Notamacropus eugenii: one gene and its partner. The main gene of each other region encodes a partner of the protein of the gene in region 2 in a complex. Links are inferred from orthologs where the notes say so. Each region holds a gene or a part of one and is shown on either strand. Other genes may lie near its edges.

Region 1 (7,013 bases), on a different chromosome or scaffold from region 2:
AACCTCTCCAAACCTTCACTTCCTCAAAAGTCAGATGGGAGAGAGCTGCCATCTACCAAAGGGTCTTAGCTTGGGGCCCTTGTTTTTCAAAAACATTTTAATAACTATATTTTAGGCACTTAAGAAGGTGATTCTGAGAGAGGGTCACTAGTTTCACCAGTCTGCCTGTCTGGGCAGGGTGACCACCACAGGATGTTTAGTACAACCACAGGCATATAGGTGTCTAAATAAGCCATGCAAATGACCCGAAGTCCAAGATCAGAAACAATTGAGACCAGTCCTCAAAGAAAACAAGAGCCACCAAACACTGTCAGGACATAAAAGGCTCACCTCAGCCAGAACAAAGGGATGCACTTACCCTGCTGCTGCTAGCTGCTCACTACTGTCAGGCTCTCACAAATCTCACGCGGCTGTTTTGTGGGCACCCCTCCCAATGCCATGGCCATTCTCTAAGACGTTCCAGGTCCCCTAGGGGATTCTGCCTACACTGTTCCATTTAAAATCATTTCCCTCCTCAGCCATTCTTCTTCTTGGGGACCAAGCTTCCCTTGGATTGACTCTCAGCATCCCCTGTTCTCCCTTCACGCCTCTACTCCTGTGTCCTCCTGGTAGTCCCCCCACAGGGGCTGCTCCTTACCCCTGACTTTCTCCTGGACCACCTCCACCTCCAGGAAGGGACCTTTGCCAAAGCCACTCATGTCCAAAGGCCCCTTTCCCATCCTGGTGCTGCCATTTACCGCCTGCAGGTTGATGGCTATTTAACAGCTCCCTTCATTAGCTTTCTGTCTCTTACCTGCCTTATTCTAGGTCCTCCCAGAGAATGTCCCCACAAGGTAAGAGGGACACAGCTGGCCTTATCCCCTCCTCTCCTCCCTCTTTTCTAGGACTATAACTGCTTGAGTTTACTCATCCAGCCCTCAACTTTTCTCCTCGGTCTAGACACATACAGCAATTTCTTCTCCCCATTACACAGATGAGGAAACAGGTCCCAGAGTTACTGTCAGAGGCCAGATCTGAAGTCAGGACTTCCTGACTCCATCTAGCCCACTTTGGACTACTGAGTCAGCTGATTAAAAGTAAATGACTTGTTTTCCCTTTTTACAGTCCTCCCTTTTCAATGATCAGCAGTCTTATAATCAATCAAACCATTTCAGTCAACTTATTGGACTACAGACTATTAGAGCTGGAAAAAGGGCAGTTTGGTGGCTCAATGGACAGCGCTGGGCTTAGAGTCGGGAAGACCCATCTGCATGAATTCAGATCCAACCTCAGATACTCACTAGTTGTGCAACCCTGGGCAAGTCACTTCACCCATTTGCCTCAGTTTCCTCATCCGTAAAATGAACTGGAGAATGAAATGGCAAACCACTATCTTTGTCAAGAAAATCCCAAATGCGGTCATGAGAGCATCAGACACGACTGACCAACAACAATGAGAGCTGGAGAAGACTTCATAAATTACTTAGCCTAAGCCTTTCATTTCAAATACAATCCTATGTACATCCTGTAATATACTAGATGTATATAGCTGGTAACCTCTCTATTTGCTCTTTGCTTTCCAACCCATCCCCTTTTCTTGACTCTAAGCCCCAGCTCCTGGTGGTCTTTTCTCTCCCTTTTCAAGGACCGAGAGACCAAGTCTCAGGAGTCATTATCCCCTAGTTTATAAGCCTTCCTCTTGCGGGGGAGTTGGTGGGCTTGGCCCCTCCCAGCTACAATATCCTGGTGTTAGGGACAGAGCCCTGCCCCTGCCCTGCATTTCCCAGGGGAACTCACCATCCCTGGAGAGCTTGATCAGCTTAGCGATATATGGGTTATCATCATCATTGCACTCCACAAGTATGAAGTCCCCTACATTGATCTGGACTTTGACATTGCTGCTTGGAGATGTCACACAAATACTTCTGCAAAGCAAATGCAGGGATCAAGTGGCCCAGAGTACAGGGAAATCAAGTCACCAAGACCCTCAGGCCAGATAAGGGAGCTCACTAGTCAAGCCTCACAGATCTACCTCCCACTCAACAAATCTCCAGAACAGAAAAGGATTCCCAGGGAAGTGTGCCCAGGGTGATGAGGAGAGGAGCAGAGGTGGACTGGGGGGCCCCAGATCACAGAGGCTGGCCTCTAAGACCCTCCTCTCCTGGCATACCAGGAATAGGGCCCAGCCTCTCTTGCTGTCTGGAGAGGTGAACAACAAACAGCAAGGATGGTGCACACTCACCCCCCAAAAATACGCTCCAAACAGATACAAATTTGTTTTTTAAAAAGAGAACTTTCCTCCTCCTGGCCTTCTTCATATCTCAGCTTAAGTCTCATCTTTAGAAAAAGGACCTGGGAAGAGCCTCATCTTAGCGTCCTTCCTGAGATGAACCCCCCTCGCCATGCAATCTGTCTATACACTATCTGCACACTGTTGGCAGGTTGTGTCCCCTATTAGACTGAGCCCCTAGAGGGCACGGACTGTCTTTGGTCTTTCCTTGTATCCCCAGTGCTCAGCACAGTGCCTGGCACACAGGAGGCGCTTCCTAAAAGCTGGGACTCTTCTCAGCCAGTGAAAAGCCTAGGCCCCACAGAGACCACACCCTAAATACTGTTAAATGGCTCCAGAATATCATGATGGCAGGAAAGCCCCACCTCAGGGGGCTGGGTGCCAATAAGCAGACCCATGGCCTGGGAACCTGCTGAGTTGAATCACTTACCTGTAGAGATTGTGACGAAGTTTCCTGTCACGGAATTCACAGTTGAGCCATGAATAACTTCGTTTGGCCTTGAGCCTTGTGAAATAGTTGTTCCTCATGGCTTTTGGTCCTGAGTGGGGAGTGCAGAAGTAAGCAGGATTCGGGTGGAGAGCATGTCCTGGACTAGCATGGGGAACTCTTGAGGGGGCATTTCTCCCCACCCTGGATGCCAGCAAGTTTGAGCCACTTGCCCAGGCTCCCGCACTGGGCCAGAAGCTGTCCTACCATACTGGAGCCTGGACTTTTTAGAGGTTTAGCCAGAAGGAAGCTGTCCCAGGGCCTGGCAGAGATCTCTTCCCCATCTAGTGCCCCAAGGCATCCATCCTTTCAGCAAAGCGAGGGCTGGGCTTCCTGCTGGCCACGATGGGCCTGCTCTTTTCCACAAGCCCCTAAGTTCCTTGGCTTTCTGCGCTCAGGGCTCCCTAACTGGGTTTCAAATGAAATGGGGGAGAAACAGTAGCTGCATCCCCAGCAGGGGGACGGGAGGGAGGAAGGTCTCGCAGACTTGGCAAGATCAGCCTGAAGCAGGCTGAAATGGCAGGAACCCTCCTTTAACCCCGACCCCCCCACCGGGCAGGATCTCCACGAGGCCAGGCACTCAGCGGATGCCCGCTAAATCCAACCAAGACCACAGGCCGGGAAGTGGAGGGTACTTCGCAGGGCGAAGGGCAGTGGCTCGGGAGAAGGCTCGGGGCGCCCCTAATTCCCTGGGGGAGGGGGCGGTGAGGAGGACCCAGGGCCACGTCCCCCTCAGACAGATGCGGAGGCTCAGGTGACCCCGAGGGCGGGCCCCAGACGGGCCTCCCGGGGCAGCTGCGGTCTGCGATAAGGACCAGCCCCTCCCCCACCCGGGCCCCTGAGGCCCCCAGGAAGGCGGTGGGGGTGGGGCAGATCGCTCCTCGCCATAGAGTGGGGGGCTCCGGGCTCCGGAGGGGGCAGGGCAGTACGGGAGGCCCCTTCCCGCCCCAGTTCGGCCAGCCCCCTCCCCCGCTTCCGAGCCCGGCCCGCCGCCCAAGCCTCAGTTTCCCCGCGTGTAAAGGAGGGGGCCTCGCCCCCAGCTCCCCCCCACCCCGGAGGCCCCGGCCCCCCAGGCTCACCCTCCGGCTTCCTCCGCCGCTCCGCGTGCGCGCTGCTCGCCTCCTGGCCACCGCCAGCACCCGAGAGAAGCTTGAAATAAAAAAAAATTCGCGCCAAAAAAGAGTGGCCCCGCCCCTCGCGTCACGCAAGGCCCGCCCCCTTTCTCCTCCCTCCTGCGTACGGATCGGGACTTTTGTCTCCGCCTCTCCCCCTCCCTCTTCCACCCCTCCCAGATTCAAAAGGTCGTTCGCCGTCCAGGCGCTCCGCCCCCTACGTCTCCCCCCTCCGCTCTTGTTTCTAGTTACGTCATTATTACGAAGCCGCGTTTGGGAAGGTAGAGGCGTCGCGGTCGCGGCGCGTGCCCGGTTTCAAAGTGGCCGCCTCGGTGACGTCATCGGCCGCGCCGAGACGCTTTCGCCCCCGCTTCCCCCCCCCCCCCCCCCGCTTCCCCCGGCTTGGCTCGTGCGGAAGTGACGCAGAAAGTGCCCGCCGGAAGGGCTGCAGAGGCGGCGCCAAGGGCTTCCCAAGATGGCGAATCGGACGGTGAAGGATGCTCACAGCATCCACGGCACCAACCCGCAGTACCTGGTGGAGAAGATCATCCGGACCCGAATCTACGAGTCCAAGTACTGGAAGGAGGAGTGTTTTGGACTCACAGGTGAGCGGCTGCGGCTGGGGCTCCGGACATCTCCCCGGCGCGTCTCGAGCCGCCCAGGGAGGATGTGAGCTCCCCGGCCGGGGAGGAGTTCAGACAGAACCCTTGGAGCTCGTAGCCTACCCTGACTTTTGGACTGTAACGGTCCCTTGCGTTTCTGAGTCCCTTTCTCTCGAGCCGAACTAGGGAAGGCGTCGGAAATGTTTGCCTGATTGAGAGAGGGGCTTCGGGAGGCCTTTTTACCTTCCTCACCAGCATACCTGCAGCACGGAGTAGATACTCACTAAGTGACCGTGTCTTCCTGCCCCCTCTTTCATATTTGGAAAGCCGCACGCAGGTAGGAAGCGTTCGAGGCAGGATTGAACCCGGGCTCTCCCACCCCAGATTCTCCTCTGCTCCCGGCCGGCTCCTGTTCACGTCCAGGGTGAGCTAGCTTGGACCATAGTGGAGAACGTCGGGGTCCCTGGTGCCTGGCCCCGGCCGGGCACGGCCAAGAACGGGGTGGGGGAGGACAGACTCGGAGCTGCCTGTCCGTGGGTGATGTGGCCGAGCGAACGTCTATTAAGCTTTTATTTGTTAAGCGCTGTGCTTAATGCTAGGCCTAGGAAGTCCGAGCCGCCCCCGTCCTCGAGGACTTAGAGTGGGGTGAGCAGTGGGTGTGCAGGGAAGTCAGCAAGGTTGTTGTGTTGGTGGGGTCCCCGGAGCAGAGGGCACTCAGCCCCTTCTGCCCAGAGCGTTGCCTCTTGATCCTCCTTTGGTCGCTGTCCTTGACCCTGGCCCGGGGAGCAGAGCTCTGGGTGAGGTCGCTACAAAGGTGCAACATTGAACGAAACTGACAAAGCCTTGTTGCGGCTTGGAAGGCTGCCCAAGACCCGGGAAGGGATTTGGCTGAAACAGGTGGGGCTGCGCCTGCGCAGTACATTTCAGGGGGTCCCTGCTTTTTCTAAGGCCAAAGACACATTCTGGCATTTAAATGCCGTGGGTCAGCCAGACTGGTCTTGCTGTTTTTGACCTCTCAGAATCCATCTTTTCTTTCAAAGCTCAGCTCAGCTGCCACCTCCTACACAAAGCCGTTTCTGGATCCTCCCTCCTCGGCTGCCAGCGTCTTCTCTCCAACAGTTACCTTGTATTTAGTTTTTGCTTCTATGGATACATGTTGCCTTCCTTGGTAAGAAATCCTTTCTTTGAGAGCTGCACGTTTCAGTTTTGTTTTACATGCCTGGCATATTGTGTTTAAAGAGAGATGAGGGACTACTTCATTTTTGCCTCTGCTTCCCTAGTACCTTGTGCCTGGCACATGGCTTGAAATCAGTCACTGCTTCTTGAATGAATGCCAAGGCAGCTCTTTCAGATTCAGAAGGCAGAGTAAGTGTGTGTTTGCATTGGTACTTCCCAGTTCTTCCCTGAACTGAAATCCTTCCCAAGTTTAACATCTTATATTCTAAGGTTCTTCCCCCAGCTGTAACATTATCTTATTTTGAATGACTTGCCCGGAAGTGTTTGTATGTTGAAGGGAGAAAACATTTCTTGGGGCCTGGTCAGGCCTTTAGGGCAGGGCCATATGCAGAGATGGTGATAATAACATTGTCCGCCGATGTGATCGGAAAGGTCACAAGGGCCCCTTCACAATATAGTAATCATAACTGCCACTTAATGGTATTTTAAAGTTTGCTAAATGTATTACATAGCATCTCCTGGGAGGCAGCTGCTGGAGGTAGGATTATCCCCATTTTATAGATGAGGAAATTGAGATGAGAGATTGTCACTTGTCTGTCATCTCTCAGTTAATAAATGAAGAACCCTGGTCTTCCTAACTCCAGGTCCCTTTGACTGCTGTGTCTCACGGCCTAAACCAACCCCACTGCCGCTGCCCAGATACCAGGAGTGTCATGTTTTTAGCAGCACTCTTCTGACTCCTGACCCCCATGCCAATGCCCCTGAGCAGAACAATTTTTCAAGCTGTTATCCCAAAATGTCAGAGTTGGAAGGGGACTCAGAAAGCATCTAGCTTGACCTTTTTGTTTTACAGTGGGAGAAACTGAGGCCAGGAGAGGTTTCCCCCAGTGAGTCAGGGTTCAAAGCATAGCAGCTTCAGGCTGCAGAGAACAGGTAGTAGTGTAGTGGGGCGGGGTGGTAGAGTGTGAAGTCCGGCTGAAAAAGGTAGATTGGGGCTAGAAGCAGAAGGCCTTTAGTACTAGTGGAATCTGTAGTTCAGGAGCATGCTGAGCCTGGAGTCAGGAGAGGACCTGGGCTGAAATCCTTCCTCATGCAGGTCCTAGCTGTGTGACTTTGGGCAAATCACTTCACCTCTTTCTGCCTTAGTTTCTTTAACTATAAAATGGTGATAATGAATAGGAGAGTTTATTTGTATAGCACTTAGCACAGTGCTCTGTAAATACTAGCTGTTATAATTATCATTGTTATCATTATCATTTCTCCAAGCACTTGGTAGCCACTGAAGGGCTTTAGATAGTAGCCAGAAAGGGCACTAAAGCCTGACCTTGGGGTATGTAGAAAGGACACAGATGGTAAGAGGTTGGAGG
Region 2 (7,759 bases):
AATTCTATCCTTCCTCCTATCCCCTCCTTCATCCACTGAGAAGGCAAGAAAAACAAAACCCATAACAAAAACATATGGACATGCAAAACAATTTCCACATTCGCTTTGTTCCAAGAAAAAGAAAGGAAGAGAAGAAAATATTCTTCCAACTACACTCTGAGTCCATCAGCTCTCTGGAGGTGGATAGTATGTTCCATTATGAGTCCTTCAGAGTTATGGTGGGATGTTGTGTTGATTAGTAATTAAATCTTTCAGTTGATTAGTTTTATAATATTACTATTACTGTTCAGATTGCTTTCCTGCTTCTGATCACTTTACTTTGCATCAATTCATAGAAGTCTTTCCACGTTTTTCTGAAACCATCTCCTTCATCATTTCTTACAACACAGTAATATTCCATCACTTTCACATACCCTAACTTGTTCAGTCATTCCCCAATTGATAAGCATCCCCTCAGTTTTCCTGTGCTTTCTAGTGTTTTAAAAAGGAATAGGTGTTGTATTTTTGTCAAAAGCCTTTCCTGTTTTTTTTTTTGTTAATATGATCAATTATACTTATAGTTTTCCTAATAATAAAACAGTCTTGCATTACTGGCAAGTGAAACTTGAAAGTCAGACTATAAGGGGTTGGGGAGAAAATGGGTAGGAAGTGGTGGAAGCAAATGCAACCTTATCTTTCAGTACTTTCAGAACTGAAAGGGAAGGGAGATGTGGATATCTGGATGGTGATTCTGAGGTACTGCAAGATTAGGGAAGATGGGACAGAATACATTTGTAGATGACAGAAAAAGCTAGGCAATATGGAGAAGCTGAAGATGTGAGACACAATAACTGCTGAAATAACAAAGATCAAGGACACAAATTTGGGTATTAACCTTTACAAAGAGAAGGATCACTTCTTACTCTTGAGACCTGAAAAAAAGAGGTGAGGATGAATGAAGACATAATGTTCTGAGGGATGGAGGAAAGAATGAGGGTGCTCATTTGGATGATCTCAATTGTTTTTTCCCCCAATCTTCTTAGTAAAGCATGGGAGGTTATTTTTTGAAAGATATTAGGGGAGAAGTTGGAAGCTTGAGAAAGTATTAATAGCTACTGAAAGAAAAGGATTGCTGTGCAATGTTTGAAAGCTCAGCAGAGGCTAAAGAATATGTATTTATTGTAGATTTAGTCTATACACTTTCAATATTTTCTGTAGCAACATCCATTAGCTCTGGAGTAAGCAAAGAGGAAACTTTTATGATTGGAGTGACCAGGGTTGAGATGAGAACAACGGGTTTAAGAAAGGTGGAAATCAGTGAACTGGTTAACACAGGGCTAACACTGCGCAGGAGAGAAATGAAGCCTGAATATGGGTGATAACAGAGAGAACTTGGAGGGACGGAAGGACCAGAGGTCACAATGAGGAGTTTAGGAGGAATGAGACAGTGGTAGAGGTAGAAGGACAGCATGCTGAACAGAGAAGGGAGAAAAATTCTAATCAAAGCTAAATGTGTTGTACACAGACAATTTCATTCTTGAGTTAAGAACAATTCTCCTTTGAATCTTTTGCTACTAAATTTTACCTGTTCATAGAGGTCAATCAGTGTTTTGTCTGGCAATTTCAGGGACTGTATAGCTTGCAAAACGGTATCCCAATGACCACTATTAATATCGGCCACAAAACTCTCTATGCTGTCCACAGTATTCAGGGACACTGTTGTCTCCTCCTGCAAAGTGGCTAAGGCTCGATGTAAACTATTTTCCTTCAAGTACTGCATGATGAGACGTATAACGCTAAAAAAAGAAGAAATATATACCATGAGTTTAACCGTAGGGTAACAGATTTAGAGCTGTAAAGGGCCATGGAAATGATAAAACCCAATCCCTTAATTTTACATAAGATAAAACTGAGGTTCTGAGAGGTTAAACCCCTTGCTCAGGGTAACACAGCTAGTAAGAAACTGAAATGGGAGTGGGACTCTGGTTTTCCAGATTCAAAGTCCACTACTTTTTACTCTTATATCCTGTTGCCTCTCATAAAAAACAGAACGAACACATAAGCCTCAGCTTAACAGATTCATGCTCTAGGGGAATTCGCTGTAGTTCCAGGACCCTGAGCTGGGGACACTTGTAGAGGTAGCATTTTCTCTCGAGGAAAGATCTGCGGAGAGCAACTCTTCCTCCTCATTTTGCACAGGAGGAAGAGAACACTCAGGAGCCTAACTCCTAATTATGATACCAGCTCCAGAGCCGGAATGCCTTTGCTTTGACTTATTTTTGGTTAAGAACACAAATCATCAATTCAATTTCGATGAGCGTCGTGGTATTTTACAATTACAGTTCTCTATCACTGTAAAAGTACAAGTTTAGGCTTGCTCCCTCTACTTTAGGGTACAAAGGTGCTTAATTAATATTAGTTAGCGCCTCACTATATCGAGAAATAGAAAGGAGGGAACTGGACCCTTAAACGCGGAAACCCTGGGGGCAGATCGAACGCACCCGGATTGTCTGGCTACCCACCGGCTGGACCCACGAAGCCTCGGTGCAGTGGCTCGGTGGCTATCCCTGCAGGGGGCTGGGGAGGGTCCCGGAATGAACTCGGGCTTTTTTTAGTCCCAACTCTAAGACGACCCGTGTGCGCTCTCAAGCGCCACGTCCGCCGCCTTCTGGCCTCAGTTTCCTCATATATGAGATAAACACACTGGCCTAGAGGGCATTCTGAGGGCCCTCCTCTCGGCGGGATGGAGGGGGCCTCCGCGGAGCGCAGGCCGCAGGATTCGTCCCCGGCCTCCCGCCATCTTCTCCCTTCTCGCGGGCCCGGCCTTTCCCCAGTCCCCGGCACTTACTCGGACGATTCAATTTCAATCGACATCTTGCCGGTGCCGCAAAACGGCCGCTAAGCCGAGAGATCGCAGGGGAAAAAAACCCCACCGGACACACCAAGAGGGAAAACTGGGCCCACTTCCGGTCTTCGCTTACGTCACTTCCGCCAGGCGTCCCTCCTTCGCCCCAGCTCCAGGGCGAATGGGGGAAGCCGGTGGAAGGGGGCGGGGAGGCCGCCTGTCACGTGGCCAAAATGCTGCCTTACGAGTGGGTGGAGCTGAGGCGGGAGGGCCCTGTAGCCTAGGTAGCTCCACAGCCCCAGGACCCTGAGCTGGGCCGTGTGCAGATGTAGCCTATTTCCTCTAGGAGAGGGCTTCCCAGAGCGAAGTCTTCTTCCCTTTTCACAGCAGGGGGCCGAGTCTCAGAACCCTGACTCCCAAGAGCTGGATCTTACAGAGGGGCTGTCAGGGTCGGGCAGGATTTGAACTCAGGTCTTAGGCTCCATCCATGGTGTAGTGGATGGGATCCCCTAGCTTAGCAGCTCTTGAGCTACCTGGGTTCCTTAATCAGTAAAAATGGAAATGACAATTAGCACCTACCTCTCCAGGGAGTAGAGAGGATGGAAACGAGATAAGTGCTTTTAACGTTCTATAAGAAGTGTTAGCATCAAAGATTCCAGCTGGCCAAGACCTCGCAGGTCATCAAGTCCAGCCCTCTCATTTGACTGATGCCCAGAGAAGGTAAATGACTTGCCCCCAGTCACACAGCTAGTAAGGTCTGATTCCAAAGTCATGTGCTCTCTACCCCCCTGCGGTGCACAGAGGGTGAGGACACTTAGTTCAGGGTCACCCAGCAGGTAAAATGGGACTTGAGTCCAGGCTTTCAAACTTTCAGTCCACTGCTTTTTCTTTAGCATTTTTCCTTTTCTTTTTAATGGATAGTTCAAACAAACAAACATAATTTAGGCTTATTTTTGAAAACAGGGAAAGTCCTGAAAACAGAAGTATCTTAAATTACCTTCTAAAATGAACTGCAATATGTATAAGGTATATCAAATTGCTTACCTTCTTGGGACAGAAGGAGAGAGGGAGAGAATTTGGAACTCAAAATTTAAAAAAAAATGAGTGTTAAAAATGTTTATTCACATAATTGGGGGAAAATTAAGAATTAAAAAAAATAATTCCCAATGACTCAGGCCATAAAAATCAAAATTTAAACCATTCATTTTAGATTATTTCTTTACCCTAATTTTTTTCATCTTTTGTTTTTTACATCACCTCCATTTTCAAATGTCCCCTCCTTATCCAGTAAGCCATTACTTGTAACAAAGGTTAAACTAAGAAATGAAAAAACACAAAGAGCAAAAATAAGTAAAACATCTACCAAATCTTGCAGTATGTGCATTGTTTCATGTCTATAATCTCCCATCTTCACAGGGAAAGAGGTGCATTTTAAAATCTCTTTTCCAGTGCCAAATTTGGTCATTATCAGTACACAGAATTCATTTTCCTTTTTCTTTTTCTTTCTTTTCATTTCCATTTCTGTCATTTTTTTTTTCCTCTGTTTGCCTTAATCCACTGGAGAAGAAAATGGCAAACCACTCCAGTATCTTTGTCAAGAAAACTCTTATGGACAGCCATAGGGGGGATCACCAAGCATCCAACACAACTGAATAGCAGATGCTGATTGTAGCAAATTAGATTACAGCTCACAAATCTAAAGTTTTCCTACAAAGGAGAGAAGTATTCACTGTACAAGATAAATTGACTATAGGAAAAGTAATTTATTCCTACTTATAAAAAGTAATGCTAAGAAGAAAAGAATCATAGCATAAGTAACAAAATGATTCTTATAATTACTGATAAACTGCTTGAACTGAGTCAGATAAGCATTTATGAAGTACTTGCTATGTATGAAGTACTCTACTAGGTGGTGGGGATGAAAAGAAAGGTGAAAGCATGATTTCTGCCCTTGAGGAACTCATATGACAACATGCAAACCACCACATATATGCAATATACATATACACCTACATATATAACACTATATATACATACAGATGTGTATCTATCTATCTATCTATCTATCTATCTATCTATCTATCTATCTGTCTGTCTGTCTGTCTGTCTGTCTGTCTGTCTATCTATCTATCTATCTATCTATCTATCTATCTATCTATCTATCTATCTATCTAGTATATGGGAGGCAACCTTGCAGGGAAGGAACCAGCACTAGAGGGAACTGGGAAAGGCTTCTTATTGAAGGGAGGATTTGAGCTGAAATGTGAAGGAAGTCAGAAGACAGAAAATGGAGGTGAGAGGGGAATACATTTCAGGGATGGGGAAGAGTAAGTGAAAATCCCCAGAACTGTAAGATGGAATGTCATGTGTAAGGAATAGTAAAGAGGTCAGTGTTGCTGGACTGTAGAGTATGTGATGAGGAGCAGAGTGTGAGAAGAGTAGAAAGGAAGGAAGGGGTCAGGTTGTGAAGGAGTTTAACATCCAACCAGGATTTTTATTTTATCTTGAAGGTTTTTACAATATGGAGCCACTAGATTGTTTAGGAGAGTGTCGTGGTTGGACCTTAACTTTAGAAAGATCAGTTTGGAATGGGGAGCCAACTGAGGTAGGTAGACCAATCAACTAGCTATTGTAATAGTCCAGGCATGAGGTTGTGTGAATGAGGGGAAGGGTTATATAAGAGTAGGGTGACTATAAGTGAGGAGTCAAGAGTTACACCCATGTTGTAAGCCTGAGTGTTTGGAAGTATGGTGGAACCCTCAACAGTAATAGAGAAGTTTGGACAGTTTGAGGGGAAAGATAATTAGCTCAGTTCTAGGCATACTGGGATAGTGGTGATACAGTGGGTAGAGTACTGGACCTGGAGTCAGGAAGACTGATGTTCCTCAGTTCCAATCTATGCCTCAGACAGTTACTAGCTGTATGACTCTGGGCAAGTCACTTAACCTTGTTTGCCTCAGTTTCCTCATCTGTAAAATGAGTTGAAGATAGAAATGGCAAACTACTCCACTATTTTTGCCAAGAAAAACCCAATAGGAACACGAAGTGTTGGACATGCCTGAAAATTGACTGAAGAAGACATATTTATCCAGTTTGAGATGTCCAAAAGAGATTTGGAGTTGTGAGACTGAAAGTCAGGAGAAAGTTTAGGACTGAATAAATCGAATTTGCATAGAGATGATAATTGAATCTATGGGAACTATGATACCACTAAGTGAGATAATATAGAAGGCAAAGAGAGACAAGGAGAGGCTCTTGCAGGACTCCCAAAGTGAGTGGACATGACTTGGATGAAGATCCAACAAAGGAGATTAAAGAGTGGTCAGATTGGTAGGAGAAGATATAGGAAGGAGCAATGTTATAAAAACTGAGAGAAATAGGAGTATCAAAGAGAAGTTATCAACAATGTCAAGAGCTATGGAGAAGTCAAGAAGGATGACAACTGAATAAAAACGATTAGACTTGGTGATTAAGAGATCACTGGTAACTTTTGGAAAGAGTGCTTAGAATTGAATCATGAGGTCAGAAGTCAGGCTTCAAAGACTTTAGAAGTCGTAAGAGGTGAGAATGAGTTTCCTCATCTGTAAAATGAGCTAGAGAAGGAAATGGCAAATCAGTCCAGTATCTTTGCCAAGAAAATCCCAAATGGGGTCATGAAGAGTCAGACATGACTGAAAAATGACTGAAAAGAGTAGGAGAAGTGGAGGCATTGGTTGTGGATAGTTTTATCAAAGAGTTTAGGCATTAAAAGGAAAAATTATATAGGGTGGTGGCATTGAGAATTTTTTTTTTAGGGATCAAGGAAAAATGGATGTTTGTAGGGAACAAGAAAGCAGTCACTAGTAGACAAAAAGAGATTAAAGATTGGTGGGAAATACAGACTATAGAGGAAACAATCTGTTGAAGAAGATGGGATGGAATGGGATCCTGTTTGCCTCAGAAAGGGCTGACTTTGTGTAAGGCACAAGTGTGGAAGAAGACACCCATAAGATATGACATGAGAAAGAGGAGGGGGAGGAGGAGCTCTTGGTGAATTATCTCACTTTTTCCAGTGAAATATGAGACAATATTCTCAGCTGAGAGAGAAGGGGAAATAGTGCCATAGGAAGCTTGAGGAGTCACAAAATGGTTTGGAATAGCCTCCTGTTGTGAGTGGGATGGTGAGTCAATTTGTGAGGTATAAAAGGATTGCCTTGCTTCAGTGAGGGCTCAGTTGAGATTATATAATTTATATTTGTACTGGACTCAGTCAGATTGACTTTGTATTTTCTCCAGCTCTATTCAGCAGAATGTAAATAGGAGCCAAAGTAATGAATGATGGGAATATTCCAAGGTTGGGGCACTGGACAAGGCATGATTGGCAATAGGTTAAATGGGTAAGGGATTCAAGCATAGAGAATAATGTAAAACTGAACTAGTTCACCAAGGGGTCAAGATAAAGAAAGGAGAGTGGTGAGGAAGAAGAACAGGGTCAGCGTTAGGGGTTGTATGGCAGATTTGGAGGATCCTGAGGAGAAGATGAAGTAGAGAACATGAGGGACATGACTCATGAGTGGCTTGATTTACTGACTTTTTGAAATTCCCAAGGTCAGAGACACCATTCCCTTCACTGAACACCATGAGAATCACCAAGATCCCTTGAAAGTGGATGGAGTAAAGAGATATGAGCTAAAGCTGGGAGACTTTTTGGAATCCTTCTTCAGTCAGTCAAAGAGATTCCTCATTTGCACATAACGGGTTAAGTGACTAGAACCAGCTACAGGATGTCTATGTATGTTCCACAGTCTGTCTCTCCAAGGCACATCTTCTACATGTCATCACAATTGTCCTGGAAGCATCTTAGTTCCTCCTCTCCCCATCACTCCCACCCCAAAACAAAATTTTTCTATGCTTGTTTTGGCTATGTTTTTGAAATAAATGTTCTTTTGTAAAAGC

The links. Proteins that work in one complex are often made in the same cells at the same time.
Region 1: SMU1 (region 2) and PRPF38A share a complex: the UniProt entries of both Homo sapiens proteins name them as parts of the spliceosome B complex. The link is inferred for Notamacropus eugenii from reciprocal best matches to the Homo sapiens genes SMU1 and PRPF38A.

Annotation. Positions count from the first base shown.
Region 1 is NC_092873.1:512,531,320-512,538,332, forward strand, and holds the start of PRPF38A (pre-mRNA-splicing factor 38A), read left to right. Parts: upstream 1-4,010; 5' UTR 4,011-4,343; coding exon 4,344-4,473; exon of another isoform or gene 4,474-4,807; intron 4,808-5,510; exon of another isoform or gene 5,511-5,638; intron 5,639-7,013. UniProt on the Homo sapiens protein: Involved in pre-mRNA splicing as a component of the spliceosome.
Region 2 is NC_092874.1:312,785,852-312,793,610, reverse strand, and holds the start of SMU1 (WD40 repeat-containing protein SMU1), read right to left. Parts: upstream 3,008-7,759; 5' UTR 2,854-3,007; coding exon 2,828-2,853; intron 1,776-2,827; coding exon 1,565-1,775; intron 1-1,564. UniProt on the Homo sapiens protein: Involved in pre-mRNA splicing as a component of the spliceosome. Regulates alternative splicing of the HSPG2 pre-mRNA. Required for normal accumulation of IK.